Arabidopsis thaliana: one gene and its partners. The protein of the gene in region 2 purifies or fractionates together with the protein of the main gene of each other region. This does not show direct contact. Each region holds a gene or a part of one and is shown on either strand. Other genes may lie near its edges.

Evidence for each region.
Region 1: the proteins of AT4G17830 (region 2) and GME fractionate together in Arabidopsis thaliana (co-fractionation; one large-scale study listed by BioGRID). This does not show direct contact.
Region 3: the proteins of AT4G17830 (region 2) and AT3G62510 fractionate together in Arabidopsis thaliana (co-fractionation; one large-scale study listed by BioGRID). This does not show direct contact.
Region 4: the proteins of AT4G17830 (region 2) and AXS1 fractionate together in Arabidopsis thaliana (co-fractionation; one large-scale study listed by BioGRID). This does not show direct contact.

What each region holds. Positions count from the first base shown.
Region 1 is NC_003076.8:10,861,464-10,866,648, forward strand, and holds GME (GDP-D-mannose 3',5'-epimerase), read right to left. Parts: upstream 3,484-5,185; 5' UTR 3,263-3,483; intron 2,582-3,262; exon of another isoform or gene 2,563-2,581; 5' UTR 2,562-2,562; coding exon 2,152-2,561; intron 2,066-2,151; coding exon 1,969-2,065; intron 1,892-1,968; coding exon 1,762-1,891; intron 1,676-1,761; coding exon 1,543-1,675; intron 1,465-1,542; coding exon 1,257-1,464; intron 1,165-1,256; coding exon 1,009-1,164; 3' UTR 553-1,008; downstream 1-552. UniProt on the Arabidopsis thaliana protein: Catalyzes a reversible epimerization of GDP-D-mannose that precedes the committed step in the biosynthesis of vitamin C (L-ascorbate), resulting in the hydrolysis of the highly energetic glycosyl-pyrophosphoryl linkage.
Region 2 is NC_003075.7:9,914,079-9,918,727, forward strand, and holds AT4G17830 (Peptidase M20/M25/M40 family protein), read left to right. Parts: upstream 1-1,734; 5' UTR 1,735-1,837; coding exon 1,838-2,173; intron 2,174-2,378; coding exon 2,379-2,638; intron 2,639-2,714; coding exon 2,715-2,823; intron 2,824-2,899; coding exon 2,900-3,038; intron 3,039-3,120; coding exon 3,121-3,196; intron 3,197-3,276; coding exon 3,277-3,399; intron 3,400-3,489; coding exon 3,490-3,643; intron 3,644-3,749; coding exon 3,750-3,783; intron 3,784-3,864; coding exon 3,865-3,971; 3' UTR 3,972-4,109; downstream 4,110-4,649. Other genes in the region: AT4G17840 (CAAX protease self-immunity protein), read right to left, coding at 4,144-4,293, 4,375-4,463, 4,543-4,614.
Region 3 is NC_003074.8:23,121,084-23,124,349, reverse strand, and holds AT3G62510 (disulfide isomerase-like protein), read right to left. Parts: upstream 1,520-3,266; 5' UTR 1,498-1,519; exon of another isoform or gene 1,162-1,497; intron 1,015-1,161; 5' UTR 1,013-1,014; coding exon 890-1,012; intron 795-889; coding exon 576-794; 3' UTR 559-575; downstream 1-558. Other genes in the region: AT3G62500 (F-box protein RMF), read right to left, coding at 1,862-1,880, 1,984-2,070, 2,156-2,221, 2,309-2,378, 2,476-2,583, 2,683-2,853, 2,966-2,998, 3,073-3,189.
Region 4 is NC_003071.7:11,863,746-11,868,853, forward strand, and holds AXS1 (UDP-D-apiose/UDP-D-xylose synthase 1), read right to left. Parts: upstream 3,254-5,108; 5' UTR 3,099-3,253; coding exon 2,823-3,098; intron 2,665-2,822; coding exon 2,572-2,664; intron 2,471-2,571; coding exon 2,363-2,470; intron 2,084-2,362; coding exon 1,969-2,083; intron 1,894-1,968; coding exon 1,760-1,893; intron 1,672-1,759; coding exon 1,570-1,671; intron 1,461-1,569; coding exon 1,368-1,460; intron 1,279-1,367; coding exon 1,143-1,278; intron 1,052-1,142; coding exon 939-1,051; 3' UTR 532-938; downstream 1-531. UniProt on the Arabidopsis thaliana protein: Together with AXS2, catalyzes the conversion of UDP-D-glucuronate into a mixture of UDP-D-apiose (UDP-Api) as the main product and UDP-D-xylose to a lesser extent, via a cycle of oxidation and reduction.

The DNA of each region.
Region 1 (5,185 bases), on a different chromosome or scaffold from region 2:
AATGCTTCATTTGCTTTTGCATATGATATAAAAGGTGATTTGGGCTCATTTGAGAAGCGACACGAAGAAGAGTGAGAGCAAGAGCAAAACCACAACAAAAAATTGGGTGATTGTTGAGTTGATGATTTGAAATATATCGATTGTCTTATTTTAGATGCATAAATGAATATTTGTAGTATGATGCTAACGTCAAAGATTTTTGAAAAAACACTGATAACATATATATTCAAAGAAGCTAACAATTGAGCCGAAAGTTGCTTAATTGTTTTGAGATTTTACTATGCTTTTCCTTTTGATTTAGTGGTTTTTTTCTTAGTTTTGGATTAAGTTTAAGCTTTATTTCCTTTGATATTATTTAAAATAATAAAAAAACATTATATGTTATGTTATAATAATATCGTCCTTATCTCATATTTGTTTTTTGATAAAATGTATATTCAAAATTTAAAATAGTAAATACGTTATTTTTCGGATCATCTCGAGTCTAAGACCAAATCTTAGAACATGGATAAAAATCTCAAATTTTAGATATTTTGCTGATCGGGAGAGTTGCATAAAAAAAGCAATATATAAACTTAAAACCTTATGATTTATTACGTGTGACATTTTTGACCGAGGAATGGGATAAAGAAGTGGATGGAAGAGAAAGAATGGTGAGTCACCGTGAGTGATCCCTAACCTCTAGAGATGTGTGAATAGATGATAAGATGCAAGAAAAAACACAAGCCACTTACTTGTACTGGTCCGTGAGAGGACCACGACATCAACTTGACTATGATGATAAACATACATACTGTGAATGAAAGGACCACAATAATATGATAACAGACTTAACAATGCAAGCAAACTTTTTCAACTAAACATAAACAAGGATTAGCAGAATAGAAGGAACCAAAATCCAAAACACTTATTATTGCTTTTTTAATAGGAAGCTACCTAAAAATATATCTAAACATTTTGCTGAACTTAAAAGGCCATATTTGAGCTTGACTTATACTTTGGTGAACTTCACTCTTTTCCATCAGCCGCGCGGAGTGAGCCTAGCTGAACCGGTGCTTGAGTTCCAACCACCTTTGATGACCCGTAAAGCGACACATCGCTTCCCTTTGCTTTCTCTTTCTCGATCTGTTCCTTTATCCAGAAGTAGGTTATTCTAAGCCCCTCCTGTTTAACGATTATGGTCAAAACAATATCAGTAATAAAAGAATTAGATTATTATCTTGTCTTTGAGCTACTTAAGTAAATAATGTTGGTACCTTCAATCTCATATTAGGAGCCCAACCAAGCTTTTCTTTGATCAGATTGTTGTCTGAGTTACGACCACGAACACCTTCCGGGCCAGGAATGTGGTGAATTGGAAGCTTCTTTTCCTCAAAGCTGAGAACCATCTCAGCCATCTCATTCATGCTCACCATCTCATCGCTTCCGATGTTCACCGGCTCACGGAAATCTGATTTTGTCAACCTATAAAACAAAAATGACGAAAATATCAGCCAATTACGTCTAACATACAACTTCATCAACATCAGGAGATACCCTCACCTGAGTACACCTTCAACACACTCATCGATAAAGGTAAAAGAACGGGTCTGAAGCCCATCTCCCCACATCTCAAACCTATCAGTGGAAGTCTGAGCCTTCCTACAGAAAGCAGCTGGAGCCTTCTCCCTTCCACCTAAGTTGATCCAAGCAAATATTAATCCCAATAGTAAACAACTAATCATTCACACAAAGTACGGAAACTGTTTATCTGTATACTACCTTTCCATGTTCCAAAAGGACCATAAATGTTATGGAACCTTCCAATTCGACACTCAATACCAAAATCTTTGTTGTAATGCTTACACAACTCCTCCGTAGCAAGCTTCTCCAAACCATAAGCATCTTGAGGCTATATCAGCATCAAAACATCACATAAGAAAAGACTCATAAATCTTTAGCAAGAACATATAAAAAATAATCACAAACCTCTGCAGGCCAAGCATCTGACTCCTTCAAGCTCACATTAGTAGTCTCCAACTGCTTAAACTCTGGATAGATACAAGCACTCGAAGCATAAAAGAACCTAAAGCAAACAAAAAATCCAATCTTTTTAACTTGTTTTAAGAAACCGTAAACTGCGAAAACCGAAGAAAACAAAATCTAACTAACCTCTTAATCCCATTGATCCTAGCAGCCTCAATCATATTGAAACTAATCATAGTATTATTATACATAATCACAGAGTGATTACTCTGGATAAAACCCATACCACCCATATCAGCAGCTAAGTTAAAAACATGATCAACTCCTTCAGTAACTTTGAGACAATTCTCCATAACCCTAAGATCAACAAGATGGAACTCATCACAGAACATGTCTTCAGTCATGTGTTCATTCTTTTTCCAGTCAGAAGCAATCACGTAATGACCTTCGTGCTTCAAACGACGAGCAATGTGAGATGCAATGAAACCTCCAGCTCCTGTTATTGATATCTTGAGATTCTCAGATGGCCAATATTGCTCTCTTTCTAGCTCCTTGTATGTGTATGCTCCATAGTCTGTTCCATTGGTAGTTCCCATTCTACATTAACAAAACAAATCTGTTAAAAACAATAAGATCTCTCATGCAAAAGCTAGACATCACTGTAGAGTCCTAATTTGTGATAAATTTCTATAAAAAAGATTTGGGATTTAGAGAGTTTTGACAGAGGTAAGATTATTGATGCATTGGATTCCGGCGTAAGTTAGCGAAAAACACAAAACTGCGAGGCGTAAGTTAGCCAAAAACACACAAAATTGCAAAACAAATCTGTTAAACACAATAAGATCTCTCATGCAAAAGCTAGAAATCACTGTAGAATCCTAATTTGTGATTAATTTCTGTAAAAAGATTTGGGATTTAGAGAGTTTTGACAGAGAATGCATTGGATTCGGTGTAAGTTAGTGAAAACACACAAAATTGCGACGCTTAAGTTAGCCAAAAACACACAAAATTGCAAAGAAATATGTTAAACACAATAAGATCTCTCATGCGAAAGCTAGAAATCACTGTGGAATCCTAATTTGTGATAAATTTCTGTAAAAAGATTTGGGATTTAGAGAGTTTTGACAGAGGATGCATTGGATTCGGCGTAAGTTAGCGAAAAACACAAAATTGCGAGGCGTAAATTAGCCAAAAACACAGAATTGCGAAATTCGGATCTCAGAGAAGTTTTGATTCAGGAATCTGGGATTTTAAAACCCTAGATTAGTGGAATTGTAAGGAAGATTGGATCTTTTACCTGAGGAAGGTTTTGGAGAGTTGGAGAGATCGAAGAGATAATGCAGAGAAGAGTCAGAGATTTGAGGAAGAGGAAGAGTAAACTTGTATTTATAGAGAGAGAACAGAAGAAGATGAAGAGGAAGATGGAGAGAGCAACACCACTCGTTGTTTTAGTTTTCCAACTCCTATTGGTATTTGTGCCTCTTTCTGTTAAATTTATTTTATAACTAATAAAATCCTTCGAAAAAAAAAATTAATACTTCTTTTGTAGAGAGTTTTTTAGAAAATAGGAGATTTTATAGAAGATTTATTACTTTTTATTAGGTTTGATGATTTATATTATGCATATTATTTTTACTATTTGTTGAATCGTATTTAGATAGATAATAAGAAATGTTTTAGTTTAGAAAAAAAAAAAAACTAAATATTTTCTTTATTGGTGCACCAAACAATTTCATAATTTTTTTATTTTCTAGCTTCAATATATAAAAATATTTGTAAATAATAAATATATGTATATTCTATATATTAATTGAGAAGTTTTTTTAATAAAATATTTATATTGGCGTGTTATTAACGAAACCGTCATGTTGTGATTCTAATCCATTTAAATAATTGTCCAAATTTTACTAGATTATTACAGATTTTTCAATTAGTCTTATTCATACATATATATAATACACATTAAAAGGAAATTCTTATAAAATTCAAATAATTAAGCAATTAATCTTTAAATAATTATTATTTTGAGAAAAATTACTTTAATTTTTGTTATTTTCTAATTAACTAAAACACTATTTAACATATTTTGTATTTGCAAATAATAGTACATCTTCATATATTAAGAAATGTGTTGTAATAAATTTTTATTAAATATATAATTATTTTGTTATTTTAGTGATATATACTGTATTGAATAATTATAATGTACACATAAAAATATAAAATATTATTTATGTTTGTTTATGACATAAGAGCAACCATAAGTCCATTTTTGGAGTTTGAAACTGAAGAGTAAATTAGAAAAAAAAATCTTAAATTAAAATATAATATAAGTTAGATTGATGTTAAAAATTATTTATATAGTTATAGTATATATATAACCTAAACTATATTAGTTGGTTGAAATATTTGAAATAATAATGATTTTAGTAGTATTTTAAAGTTCATAACAATCAAACGGTCGAACCGAGATCAAACTGATTCGAGTTAATGGTCAGGTAGATTTTTATTAAACTTGTAAACTATCAAACCGTATATAAAACCATTAAAATGATTAAATACGTTTGCGAGAAATATAAATATTTAGAGATAGGCGTAATTCTCATTCAATTTTATCATGTTCCATTATATCTTACTCGTTCTCCAATTTATTTCTCATAAGAGAATGCATTTCTAATATGAGAAAAAATTTGTATTCCGATTAGAAACAGAACGTGATGGAAGCAAAAATTCTCTATATCCTGTTTGGGACAAACACAAATATAATTCATGTATATTTTTATATGATATGATATAATAAAAATATTACAAAATTAATTGACTTCTTTCTTCTTATTGTTTAATATTTTGTTCATAAATATTAAATTACATTTGTTTATTTTTAAATTTTAACTATTATAAAGCATACTATAATAACATTTATTATTTTGAGCATTTTTATGCTGTATAAATTGAAAACACATGTTACATATTTGATTGCAAACGTTAATTTGCTTAAATTGTAACTTGTTGTAATCTAAAAGCTATGTTTTTATCCCGTGTTGGCTCCTTCTATGTCGTTCCTTTTTCGTCATTCCTATTCTCGTTATATTACATTAAATATCATGTTCCGAGTTCATTTTTACTTATCTTTAAACACAATACCAGATACAGCTGTAACTTTTGGGGATTAACATATGCTTTGTTAAAATTTGTAAACATACCATAAATTAAAACATGA
Region 2 (4,649 bases):
TCCTCACCATCTCTAGCTAGCATCATACATTTTCTTTATTTTATAATATATATTTTCGACATAGCATGTAGATTTTCTATTTATCTTTTTTAAAATTTACACCAATCATTGATAGTATATGTATTGTAAAATAAAAATAAAAATAAAAATATCTACAACGCATGGTCATATTCAAACTTAATTCTAATATTTACCCAAATGATTTTCTTTTCTAGCGGTTGAATTAACTTAGAAAAAGAACAATCTTCACTTAGAGATCCCAGTGACGATTTGGACGCTTAATTATTAGGGTTATCGACTCTTATTAAGGTTCTTCTAAAGAAAGAAAATGTAATACTTTGAAGATGAAGCAAGACAAACCGAAGAAGACAGCAGATATATATATATATATATATATACCGACCAAGATTCGTGTACGTAAAAGCACAACTGAGATATGAATTTGTTGGCATGCAAATAAATTACAGATGTTTGATGCTAAGACCAAATGAAATTAAAAAGGGATTTAGGGATTTTGTATCTGTGAGAGGAACAGTCCATTGAATCAGTGAGATAGGATACTTTAATTATACTGTCTTCTTCTGCTCAGCATGGTTCGAATCCCCATATCAATCATCCATTGTCTCTTTCACCTTTGTTTTCATAAATGGCAAAAACTTTGGTTGCAATTTGCGACAAAGGATGACGTATTCGGCGCCATTTAAAGTTGGAGTTTTAAAAGTAAAAACTATTACTATATCATGTGAAAATATAATTAGATTGTGAAGTATAATTTTTAGAATTCTGTCGTTTACCTCTTAGCATTGTTATTTGATTAGACTAAACTAATAATTCAATTAAATAACAAATCTAATTTTTTCATAGTCGAATTTCATTAGTTAATCGTTTAGTTGTTTCTCTCGTGGATCTTCACATCATCACATGTGCCAAGAAGTTAATATTAATATATAGTCATTTTCCGAGAAGAGTCTATTTGGGTTGTTTGAGTAAAGCGTGGATATCTTTTTCCAAAGACCTTTTGAGAACTTATCAACCACAATCCCTTATATATGGTTGAAGCTGTGATCACTTGTATTACAATTATATTAACAACTCAATCGGCATTAACACAATTGCTTTCGATTGGATCTATCAGAAATCGGCATTAACACAATTACATTATATATCACGCTAGGTCTGATCAGCTCCATGTCAATCTCGTTGTTTGTGTGCTCTCGGTTTAGTTATGTGACTAAGAAGATGAACCGACTTGGATAATTGATTGCCTGGTTGCAATATTTTCGAAAGTGATAGGATATCAACTGTTTCTTTTCAATCCATAACTTACATACTTAATGATATAACCACATATATATAGAATCGTGTGGCTGTCCCGAAACACGTGACCATACCATATCGTATTCGAATGCACCTACTTATCAACTATTTGAACTGATGTGGATTTAAGAATTGGTCATATATTATCCTCCATGCTTCATAGGGTAATATCCAGAGCGATGTTGCAACAGATCCTTACTTGATGCGTGGCCAATTGATGTTGCTTGTGTGAGTTGCCATAGATCCTAAAGCCAAGGAATACATTTTGGAATCCATAGAAGACATGAACAACATTAAGCAAAGCCTTCTGTAGATTTTTAATTCTTTTTCGTTGTTGAGGATAGTGATATGTACATTAATTAATTTGGTTCCGTATAATTTTTTAATTAATTAGCGTAACACTCCACCCGAAAAGGTCCAAAACCTTAAACAACACACGAAGCTCGTAGACAAGCTGACCAAAACCTTATTAGTTTTGTTTGCAAACCCCAAAAGAAAAAACATCTTTGGTGTAACAAAAATGGCTTCGTCTTCCAAAGCACTGATCGAATCCATAGGCTCTCTTGACAAAGACTCATACGTTTCTCTCTTATCAAAACTCATAGGCGAATCTAAATTCGTCCAGAACAATCCGCCGGAGCTCATCCCTCAAGAGGACCTAATCGTCAAACACGTCCTTGACTCTCTCCGTCCTTATAGCACAGAAACTGGTGGTGGTCCTCTGGTGATCAATCATGTCGCGTATCATTCAGGTAGAGGTAATCTCATCGTTGAGTACCCAGGATCTGTTCCCGGAAAGATCTTGTCTTTCGTCGGAATGCATATGGACGTCGTCACTGCGAATCCTGATGATTGGGTAATTTTGATTGATTCTAAATATGTGATTTTGATCGGTGCCCATTAGAATTAGCTTAAAATCTGATACTGGGTTCTGTTTAATTTCCGATGAACTGATCTGAATTGTTCCAAATTTCAAAGCTTTCTCTGTTTTGTGTACTCTAGGGTTTAATCGGTTACATTGAATTTTGGATTCTCTGGTTGACTTCGGTTTTTGTTCATAGGAATTTGATCCTTTCTCGCTAAGCATAGATGGTGATAAGCTTCGTGGTCGTGGGACAACAGATTGTCTTGGTCACGTTGCTCTTGTCACTGAACTCATGAAGAAACTCGGGCAAGCCAAACCGGCGTTGAAATCAACGGTGGTGGCGGTTTTCATCGCTAGCGAAGAGAACTCTTCCATTCCTGGTGTTGGTGTGGACATGCTGGTGAAAGACAAACTTCTTGATAAGCTCAAATCCGGACCCTTGTTAGTTTCCATTCTGTTAGAAATTTCTTGGGGAGTTTTTAGATGAAAATTGAAGGATGATTGAAGCTTATTGATGTGTATTCTTTTGAAGGTATTGGATTGATACAGCGGATAAGCAGCCGTGTGTTGGAACTGGGGGTATGATACCATGGAAGCTTCAGTTTACTGGAAAGCTTTTCCATAGCGGTTTAGCTCACAAGGTATTTTATATATGAATGGATTACTCTAGATGAAGTTGCAAACTTGGCATTGATCTTTTCTTCTGTTTGTACGAAGGCGATTAACGCGATGGAGTTAGCAATGGAAGGGCTTAAGGAAATCCAAGCTCGGTTCTACAGAGACTTTCCGCCTCACCCACAAGAGGAAGTTTATGGTTTTGCAACACCATCCACCATGAAGCCAACACAGTGGTGTTGTAAGTTTTGGAATCTATAGCATGTTGTGTGCCTAATGACTTTACATGTTGTCTACTTACAATAAATTGTTTGGTTTTGCAGATCCAGCAGGTGGAATCAACCAAATCCCCGGAGAATGTACTGTTTCGGGTGATGTCAGGTTGACTCCTTTCTATGAGTAAGTCTCTTCACACTTGTCTTACTCGTTTCTTCAATGCATTTAGACACACTTTAATGGCTTTTTGGTTGTTTTTGCAGCGTGAAGGAAGTGATAACGAAGTTGCAAGAGTATGTTGACGACATAAACGGTAACATAGAGAGGCTCGAAACCCGTGGTCCTGTTTCAAAATATGTCTTACCAGATGAGAATTTACGGGGAAGGTTTGGACTTTCTTCTTCTCCTGATTCTATTCTTTCTCTCATTTTATTGTCCCTACCGAAATCTTAAAAAGTCTTAATTGTCACTTGCAGGCTCACGTTAAGTTTTGATGAAGCATCAGCTGGAGTTGCGTGTAATCTTGATTCTCCCGGCTTTCACGTTCTATGCAAAGCAACCGAAGAAGTTGTTGGACACGTGAAGCCTTACTCGATCACCGGTACTTTACCTCTAATCCGAGACCTCCAGGTAAACCATTTGATAAACCGTACTTTAACTAGACTCAAGACTGATCTTTCAGAGTTCTCTACAACTTACTCTTTCTAAACCAATGAATCATGCTCTTGGTTTGTAGGATGAAGGTTTTGATGTGCAAACTTCAGGATACGGTATTACAAAACCCAACTCGGATTCTCTCCTTTGCTGAATTTCCTCATCTTTGATCCTTATCTATTTTAATTTTGTTGCAGGTCTCATGGCTACATATCATGCAAAGAACGAATACTGCCTTCTTACAGACATGTGCCAAGGCTTTGATGTCTTCATCAGGATCATTTCTCAACTTGAACAAGTATAAAATCAGATGGAAGATCATAAAATAAAAGCTTCACATAGCTACTCTCTTATTAACTAAATGGTTCTATACATTTACTTTGCTTCTATCTATTTGTACAAGTCAATGGTGGCTCAATACTTCAGACACTTTACAAAATTTAAAACAAAGGATAATGTTTTATACAGTTATTTATCTATCTTGAGTTGTTGTCACCTTCAGTTTCAAGTTTCTGAACACGTAGCCGGAGTCTTTGCTGATGATGGTGTAGTTTCCAGAGACCATTACCCAATACAACGGCTGAGTATATACCATGTGTGATGATAGGAGCAAGAAGATTGTTTGTCTGCAATATTTTCAGTTTGGTATCAACGATTTTACTACGACATGTCGAAAAAAGAAATGCGTGAACAGAAGAAGTAAAAACCTGAATCCATTCAAAGCCGAGGTATAGACCCAAAAGCCCTTCAAGAAGAGGAGAGTAGATTTTCTTCATCTGTCTTCGCTCATACCACGCTGCAAAAAGGAACATAGAATCCTTAGTGTGTGATAGTGAACATATCTAAATCCTTATGCTAAACTGAGTTTTACGAACCTGCAAACAACTTCTTCAGCTCGTCTCGGGCAGAGCGAGTTTTCAAGACCGGTGCCATTATATAAGTTGGATCTAAGAGAAATAACAAAACAAAATCAGCTATGAGG
Region 3 (3,266 bases), on a different chromosome or scaffold from region 2:
ATCAAAACTCTTAACTTCAAAATAAATTATAAAATTATTGTTAAGAACATTTGCTAAAAGCCCACCAATGTGGATGCTCTTATATCTTCATCATTGTTTTCTTTGTTTGCATGGCGTTTACTTTAGATATGCTACTTACTACTCATAAATTCTTTCCGGTCAAACGAAGCCAATGGCTTTTCCCATGTCCTCTCATAACAGCTTTCAGTTCGGGATCAGTCTCTGCATTGTACAACTCATATCCGGTAAAAGTCCATGGACTCACTATTCTCAAGCTGAGACGAATTCAAGAATTACAATTTTTTCTCGAAACCCTTCTCCAACTCTGTACACTCAACGTCATTACTCTCTTCCTATACACAGGCGAAACAGAGTCCTATGTAACCACACAAAACAGAGTTTAAATCAAATTAAGCAATATAACCCACGAATCAAGTGAGACAGCAAAATGAGATAAAATATCTGCAATCTAGAAATTCAGGAGATTGATAGATCAAACTACTTAAACATTGCTAATCCACAACCACAAACTAATGTAATAATGATTGTTTTGATTCAGTTTTTGGAAGCTTTAACTAATCCATCTTTTCGTGTTCTTCCTCATCATCTTCTGCTAGTATCACCAACCCTGAACTATGAAGTCTTCCTTTGTCCTGTCTCCTTCGTATACTACAACGTTTCCGCTCGCTGACCTGAACTATGTCGTCAAGGCTCTCGGCGACAACAAGCTTCACTGGTTCGTTGTTCTCAGCTGGAATAGGTTGAGAATTTTTGTGGACAGCAGCTTTTCCATCCTAGAGAAAACATTTTCTTTGGTTAGGTTATATTGATTTCATATATACTTCTTTTACATAAAGCTTGTGTGAATGTGTGAAAAAGAGAATGAAACCTGGAAGTCCTTGACCCATGATTCAATCTGGTCAACCTCAACCTCGACCATATTCATCACCATTGATGAAATCAATATCATAAGTATTGACATCTTTATCACCATTGTTATAGTTCTCCTCATCTCTGCAAAAACTCTCTAAACGAAAACAGAGTAAGAAGATAGTTGACGAACACACTGCTTTTGTACTTTGTATTAGAAAACAAGCTTAAATTAGGGAAGCTGCGGCAAAACCCTTAAATTAAGAACCACTAAGCAATAGAGGGTTTAGCTCTAATCAGTTTCAAATATAACATCCTTCAAAACCAGTAAAGGATTCATTGTTTACTAAACCCAAATCTAGCATTCAACAAAATCCAGTAAAAGACTCCTCTTTAATCCATTCCAAACCCACAAAAGACAAATCTAACACTGAACAAAGACCAATGTAGTTTTCACCTTAAATCAGTTAAAGAGCCTACCATTCTGACGAAATCAATAAACCACAAATTTGGAGACTAGTCATTTAGATAAAACTGATACTCTTCTACATATACAGATACATATAGTATCAAAGTCTTCATGCAAAGCCATTTTTCTAGAGGTAGCATTGTGTCTTTCACTCTTACGCTATCTAGTATCTACAGCCTGTATGCCGTTCCCATTCACTTGGTGACTGCTTCCTTGACCCACATGAACCACACTTGCACTCAATTCTGAAACAATAGTTCAAAGATTAATGTGTTGGTCAAATCTCTAAAACAACAAGACAATGATAACAGAAACCTAGGATTAAACACGGATTTTTTATCGTTTTCAGAGAAAAAATCAATTTACGATATTGTGCTGCATAGTCATAATTCATAAACAAATAAGATCCTTTCTAAATGAAGAAATTGAAATAAGGCTGAGACATCTAATACGTACGCATGAAATGCTCTGATATATGTTCCTTCCATGCCATTACAGACTACATTAATCTCATCAGGCAGCTCAGTCTGTGTCGCCTTTTCTGTAGACCAATCCCAAAGAGGTTGTGAGGAAATCTCGCATATTATAGCAATGGAGAAATGCAAACAATAAAATCAGGAGAACATGAGAAGTTAACAATATACTTGAACACTGAGTTCTGTTCTTCTAATATTGATAAGCTCATGCTGGACTTTACAGTTAGGGCAATAGTAACTGTTGTGCTCCAGTTCCTTAAGATGATAACCAAATTAGTGTGATAGTTCAACAAGCGTGTTCATTACTTAGAATCAAAAGTTAAGATGCATGAAGGTGTACCTTAAAGCGCTTATATAAATTATTGTCGCACCCATACGGCCATACATCACACTCATCACAATAAACCTAATACATCAAATCAAGTCAGCTAAATAGATGTAATCATTTCTTACAGGTCTGTATTTCACCAAACATGGTCACATATATTCTCACCCAATCTCCATCATTTGAAGGGCTGCCATACTCTCTTGCAAATGCCACAATACTGATTGGATTTCCGCAACTGAAACAACAAATTTGGATTCAATTCCTTTTGGCAAGAGAATTATTTGTAATTGTGTTTTCTAGATAAAGATGGTTGATGATGCAAAGTTATATACCTTCGTTTTCTCGCAATCTTGTGTGAACAGCAACTGCATGGGGTGCGATAACTGCTTTAGGTTGGGAAATATCTGGCTGTCCGGTCCAAGACTTGAGGTTGAGAATACCTATTATAGAGGTTTCATGTGAAATTTGTATGAGACAAAGGAGAATGATTCAAAGAGGAGAAGTAAAGGAACATAACAGTAATGAAGATTTGAAGTTACCTGAGGATGAAGATTCTTTATGGTGTTTGAGGTCAAATATGGCTCCACAAGCTGCACTTGCGTTTTTCTGCAACTTATGAGATCCAATCAGATTGTAGTCCCAGCTTCCATCTTTGTAGCCTTCACTAAGGAAGAGTTCAATGTGCCTAGCATCAAGAGTTTGCATTGTTCCTACATAGTAAAACAGAAACACTCTTAGTTGCAATTTAGTTATTGCAAGAGATCAATACAAAAGTTTCAGCAACAGATTAGAGTTGATTAGTGTCTTTTACCTCACAGGTACTGAGGTCACAAACAGGTCGCACAAGCTGTAAATCTGGAAAATGAGATAAGCCATATGTTACAGTTTTTCCTGCAGTTGACAAAGTTTCTGAAGATCATGAATAAGACATTTTTGTAACATCCGTTCTATGGTTCCTTCCTTTGGGACTTTCAGGCGACCACTCAAACTCTCAGTCAGGAGTGAAGTTCGAGAATCAAGCACAAAGGCACCAATCGGCATCCAATCTATAATTACAGTGTAAAAAAAACAGATAAAGATGAGGCTGTGATCAGCAAATGAAGTACTTCAAAGTCAAAGATCT
Region 4 (5,108 bases), on a different chromosome or scaffold from region 2:
ATTTTTACTTGACTGTATTGGTGAATCGTTGAGTGACTTATGAGGCTTTTGGCATCTTAAAATTTTTGGATTATTATAATATATGTTATGTTGTCATTTTGGAGTGTTAATGGGTTTAAATGAAATATGATTTTTGCTCTTTTCAAGTTCATAAAATTTCGAAGTTGCTGGCTGATTCATGATAAGTACTATACAATGTCGATATGTTATGATCTAATCTTGATCGCAATACTAAGTAGATGGAGTATATTAAATCAGAAATAGTTGAACTAGAATATGCTCTAACAATGTATTTTATGTACATGAGTTAGAAAGAAAGAAAAAAAGACTCATTTTCTTCTAGTTTGCTTTGCCTTCATTGAATTAAAAATTCAGTGAAAACAATTCAAAATATAAAAATAATGATAATGCGTCTGCCGGGAGTCGAACCCGGGTCTATTGCTTGGAAGGCAATTATCCTAACCGTTGGACTACAGACGCTACTTGTGATTTATATATTACAATTTAAAAATAAAATCGAATTTAATTGTCGAGCGTTCCAAAACTACTAGACTTTCTTTCATACTCTGTAGTCCACTTGTTTTTTTTCTGAACGAAACACAATGTGTTACTTGACAGAAGATAATTACATTTGTTCTTGTACTTGTACACATGTAAAACGAAGCATTTTAAAATATACACTCGAACATTTATCATTCGCTACAAACGATTAACCTCTTGCTTTCTGACAGCTCCGACATACATGGCCAAACAAACCAAACAAAAAGAGAAAACTTACAAACGAAAAGGTATACTTGGAACGAACCACCGTGATTATATCGTTTTCTTAAAAAGAAAAAAGAAAAAAAGTTTTCTCTGGGATGAAAAAAATAGAATCGAATAGAGTAAAATGCCAAAATGACGCGTGTTTAACGAGTTTCGTTGGGGTCTTGGAGAGTTTAGGAAGCCACTGGTTTGGATGTTGCCTTCTTCACAGCTTCAGCGTATGTCCTGTGCTGGTAGGTTAAGGTCGACTCGAGCAAGTCCCATAGCGATGTTTTCGGGTTCCATCCTATTTTCAAAGTCCAAAATTCTATCAGAATAGCAATTGATTTTGATTTTAAAGCATATTATCTATCATGTTGGTGATTATGAAGAATTACCGAGTTGGCGGTTAATGATGGTCATGTCTGGGATTCTCTTGTCACTGTCATCATAACCTTCCCCGTAAAACTCTTTGGAGCTAACATCAACCGTTGGGCTCTCAATGGCTCCTTCTCCACTCACTTTTGCGTAAACCTGAAACATGATTCGTTTTGAGAATTGAGAACCAGCGACAGAGAAATCAAACTATTTTCATAGTTTCCTAACTGATCCATCTTCCTCACCTCGGTCATCATTTCAGCGAGCTGTCTTACTGTAACTTCGTTGTTCGGGTTGCCTACGTTGAAGATGTGCCCATTTGCCCTCTCTGGGTTTTCCTGAACCACAAACATACAATGTCATTATAGGTTTTAGTTGAAACTACTTCGAACTTCTAACATTAACAGTTTGTAAACAAAAAGCTATATATCAGGCAATGGAACGTACAATCATCAAAAGGACAGCTTCAATAGCATCATTGATGTAGACGAAAGTTCTCTGTGATTCTCCACCATCTACAAGCTTGAGAGGCTCACGACGTAGAAGATTCTGAAAGATAGATAGAGATGCATTAACTAAAAGCTTGCATATATACACAGACTAGCATTGGGTTATATACTTGGATTTGAACACTTACGTTACTAAAGCAGGCAAGGACACGTGGGACACCTTCGCTAGGACCATCAATGCCGGGGATGAAATCCATCCTAGGTCCAATCCAGTTAAAAGGTCGTACGATGGTGAACTCAAGCCCATTCTCAGCACCCTCAGCTGTCACAAGAAACAAGTGAAGTTAAGTGTAAACCTTTTGTTTTTACCAACATCATCTTAAACAGAAATGCTTACCGTAAACAAGTCTCTCAATCAGTTGCTTTGCACACGCATATGACCACCTCTGCTTCTCAATTGAACCAAATATGCAAGGGGAAATATCTTCTTTAAGAACATAGAAAGCAGGATCCTGTAGAAAGGCACAACAAACAACATCAGTAAACAGTGAACCCAACCTTAGACGAATAATATCAACTATTCCAAGCTTCTATGGGTGTGTGATAGACTAGCGGACTAAAGTCTTAATTCAATTCAAAAATACGTTTAACGAGATCCAATGAGTAATTCATAATGTGGCTATTAAAACGAACGAAAACGTCAGCTTCAACATGTTCCTCAGTACATTCATCGATGAGATTGATAAAAAGACAATAACATGTGGAAAGCGAAATGTACAAAAAGGCATTACATCACGCAGAGGATGATCCTTAGGAAGAAAGCTTCCAATGGTTTTTCCATAAACTTCACAGGTAGAAAAGTGAATGAGACGCTTGTTGTTCTCAGAACAGTATTTCACCTAACAAAACCAACGCATTACACAATCATCACTGTCTCCATCAACTTCAAAAACAAGAGCTAAAGCAAAACAATGAACGAAGCTAAGAAGAAAACACATACAACTGGAAGCGCATCAATGAAATTGCTGTAGATAGTATCAAGAGGACGTGTATTGTAATCAGCTGGAGTACAGATCGCAGCAAGATTTATAATCTGCGAATCCAAAAAGAAACATCAGAATTACATCACAACATCACCGATCTCAATACATTGCGAAACATCTGAATTCCGATAACGAATCAGATCTGAGACTTCTATCATAAACACCGAAGAACAAGAGATCAAAAAACGAAATCGATAAGCATTTTTACCAGATCCGCCATCTTAACAAGACCTTCAAGTCTCGAATCATGCTTAATATTGATACGATGAAACTGGATCCGACCACTCCATTCAACGGTATCAGGCTCAAGCAAGTGTTTGATCTTATCGTTGTAAACATCGAGCGCAAGCACCTTATGTGGCGTCTCGGTCAAGAGCTTTTCACAGAGATGTGAACCGATGAAACCTCCGGCGCCGATCATGCATATTGTCAACGGTTGTATCGGTTTCCCGTCGAGATCCACTCTATTAGCTCCATTCGCCATTTTTTTTCTCAGATCAGAAAAAATAATCAAGTTCTCTGTAGAGAGAGAATCTAAAGAGGAAGAGAGAGTGGTGACGGTGGATATTTAAGAGAGAAGATGCATCGCATGTGAACGGAGGCAAATTGGTTCGTCGAATTTTGAAATCTCACTCTCTGTATCGGCGCGTGGTGTGTACTCGCTTCCACGTGATCTCGTTTAAATTGGAAAGGATGCGATATTTTATTTGTTCGACTAATCATTTTGTATGATTATTAATTATGAATGTTTAGTAGTCTAATAATTGTGTTTAAGAGTTAAGAAAAAACTTCTTTTTAACTAGATAAATCGTTCTTTGTAACTTTCGATTTTTTTTTTTGGGTAAGCCAAGGGAGACAAAGTCTCCCAAGATTTATTAATGAAAAAGAAAATTACATTCGCACTTGACGTGAAACCGTAGCTCCACTAGTGTCATCCAACAAAATAAAACGTAAAGAATCCGGAACCAAACTAAGAGAATGAAAACCTAATGGTAACGAAAATGCATAGTTGGCTAACCCGTCAGCAAGACGGTTAGCTTCCCTATAAACGTGTGAAATACGGACTCTCCAGTCCCTTGATATGAAGTCATGGCACAATCGTACCAGGAAAGACAGCGGATGTACCTCGTTTATCCCTATCTTCAAAAAACCCACAACAATCTCTGAGTCCACCTCAATCTCTAACCGTGTGACTCGTCGCTCCCAAGCAATGTAGAGGCCATAGTACACTCCCCATAGCTCTGCCAAAGGTGCTGAACAAACTCCAATGTTCAGAGCAAAACCTCCTCTCCAAGCTCCTTCCTCATCTCGTAGCACACCACCAGCAGACGCTAAACCCGGATTACCTCTGGAAGCCCCATCCGTATTAAGTTTCCACCAACCTTCCTCGGGTTTCGACCACGCGATCAGTCTTTCCACCCGTTCTCCATGACCCCCACTCAGTGTCCTGACTATCACATGAGCCATGGACGTCTCCCTAGCCAGATCCTTTAAGAAACGCACCCGATCTCGACATTTGTCTTGAACACCAAAAATGTTGCCACACCGCCATTTCCAGGCCCACCAAATAGACAAAGCAAATAAAGTTGACCAAGTACTCTCACAAGTCTTCCGCCTATCACCCAGATTAGCAAACAACCACTCCAATAACGATTGTGTAAAGAACTCTCGGCGCTTACCCGCAGGAACTAAGCGGATCCAAATGCCTTCCATAGCAGGACAATCACGAAGAATATGTATGATTGTTTTTTCAGCTCCTTTACAGATTTGGCAAATGTCCGAATCACTTAGATGCCTCCTCCTCCTCTCAGCATTCGTCATCAGAACTTGCTGCATTCCAAGCCATAGGAAGAGCCGCACTCTCTCCGGTACCACGACTTCCCATACTCTCTTGTAATTTCCGATTGATATCAAGTCAAATTATTAATTTTTATATTGAAAAGACATTTGGAGTATTTTTTTTGGGTTATTATTTCTGATAAAATCAAATTTACATTGAGAAGAATGGCTTTGGGGAATCAATACAAAAAGTCTTTTCTACGTAGAAGAAAACTTGACCCAGCAACATTAGAGATTCCATTTTGCATTACGAAACTTAAACTGGTTAGGAAATAATTTAATTATTTGCCCAAAAAGGGAAATAATTTAAACAAAATATGATTTTATTGACGTTATTTTAATTAAGCTTCAGTCTTAACTCTTAACTCTTAAGTAGTTTCTTAAATAGTGTGTCAAAAAAAAAAGTAAGTTTCTTAATACTGCTTCTAATTTGCATGTCGTAGTATCAGAAGTTTTTTCAACAAAAAAATCATTATGAAGAGAGTTTATATGAATATCGCTAACCATTATGTGGAATTGTGGATAATGGATAAATTTTGAGAACTAATTGGATTCATGTGTTGCCTCACAGTGAGCTGACGACCGTTCGATCATTGATATACATACACATATGATGAAAAAAAGATGCTAATTTCTCGTTGCTTTTTTTTTTTGG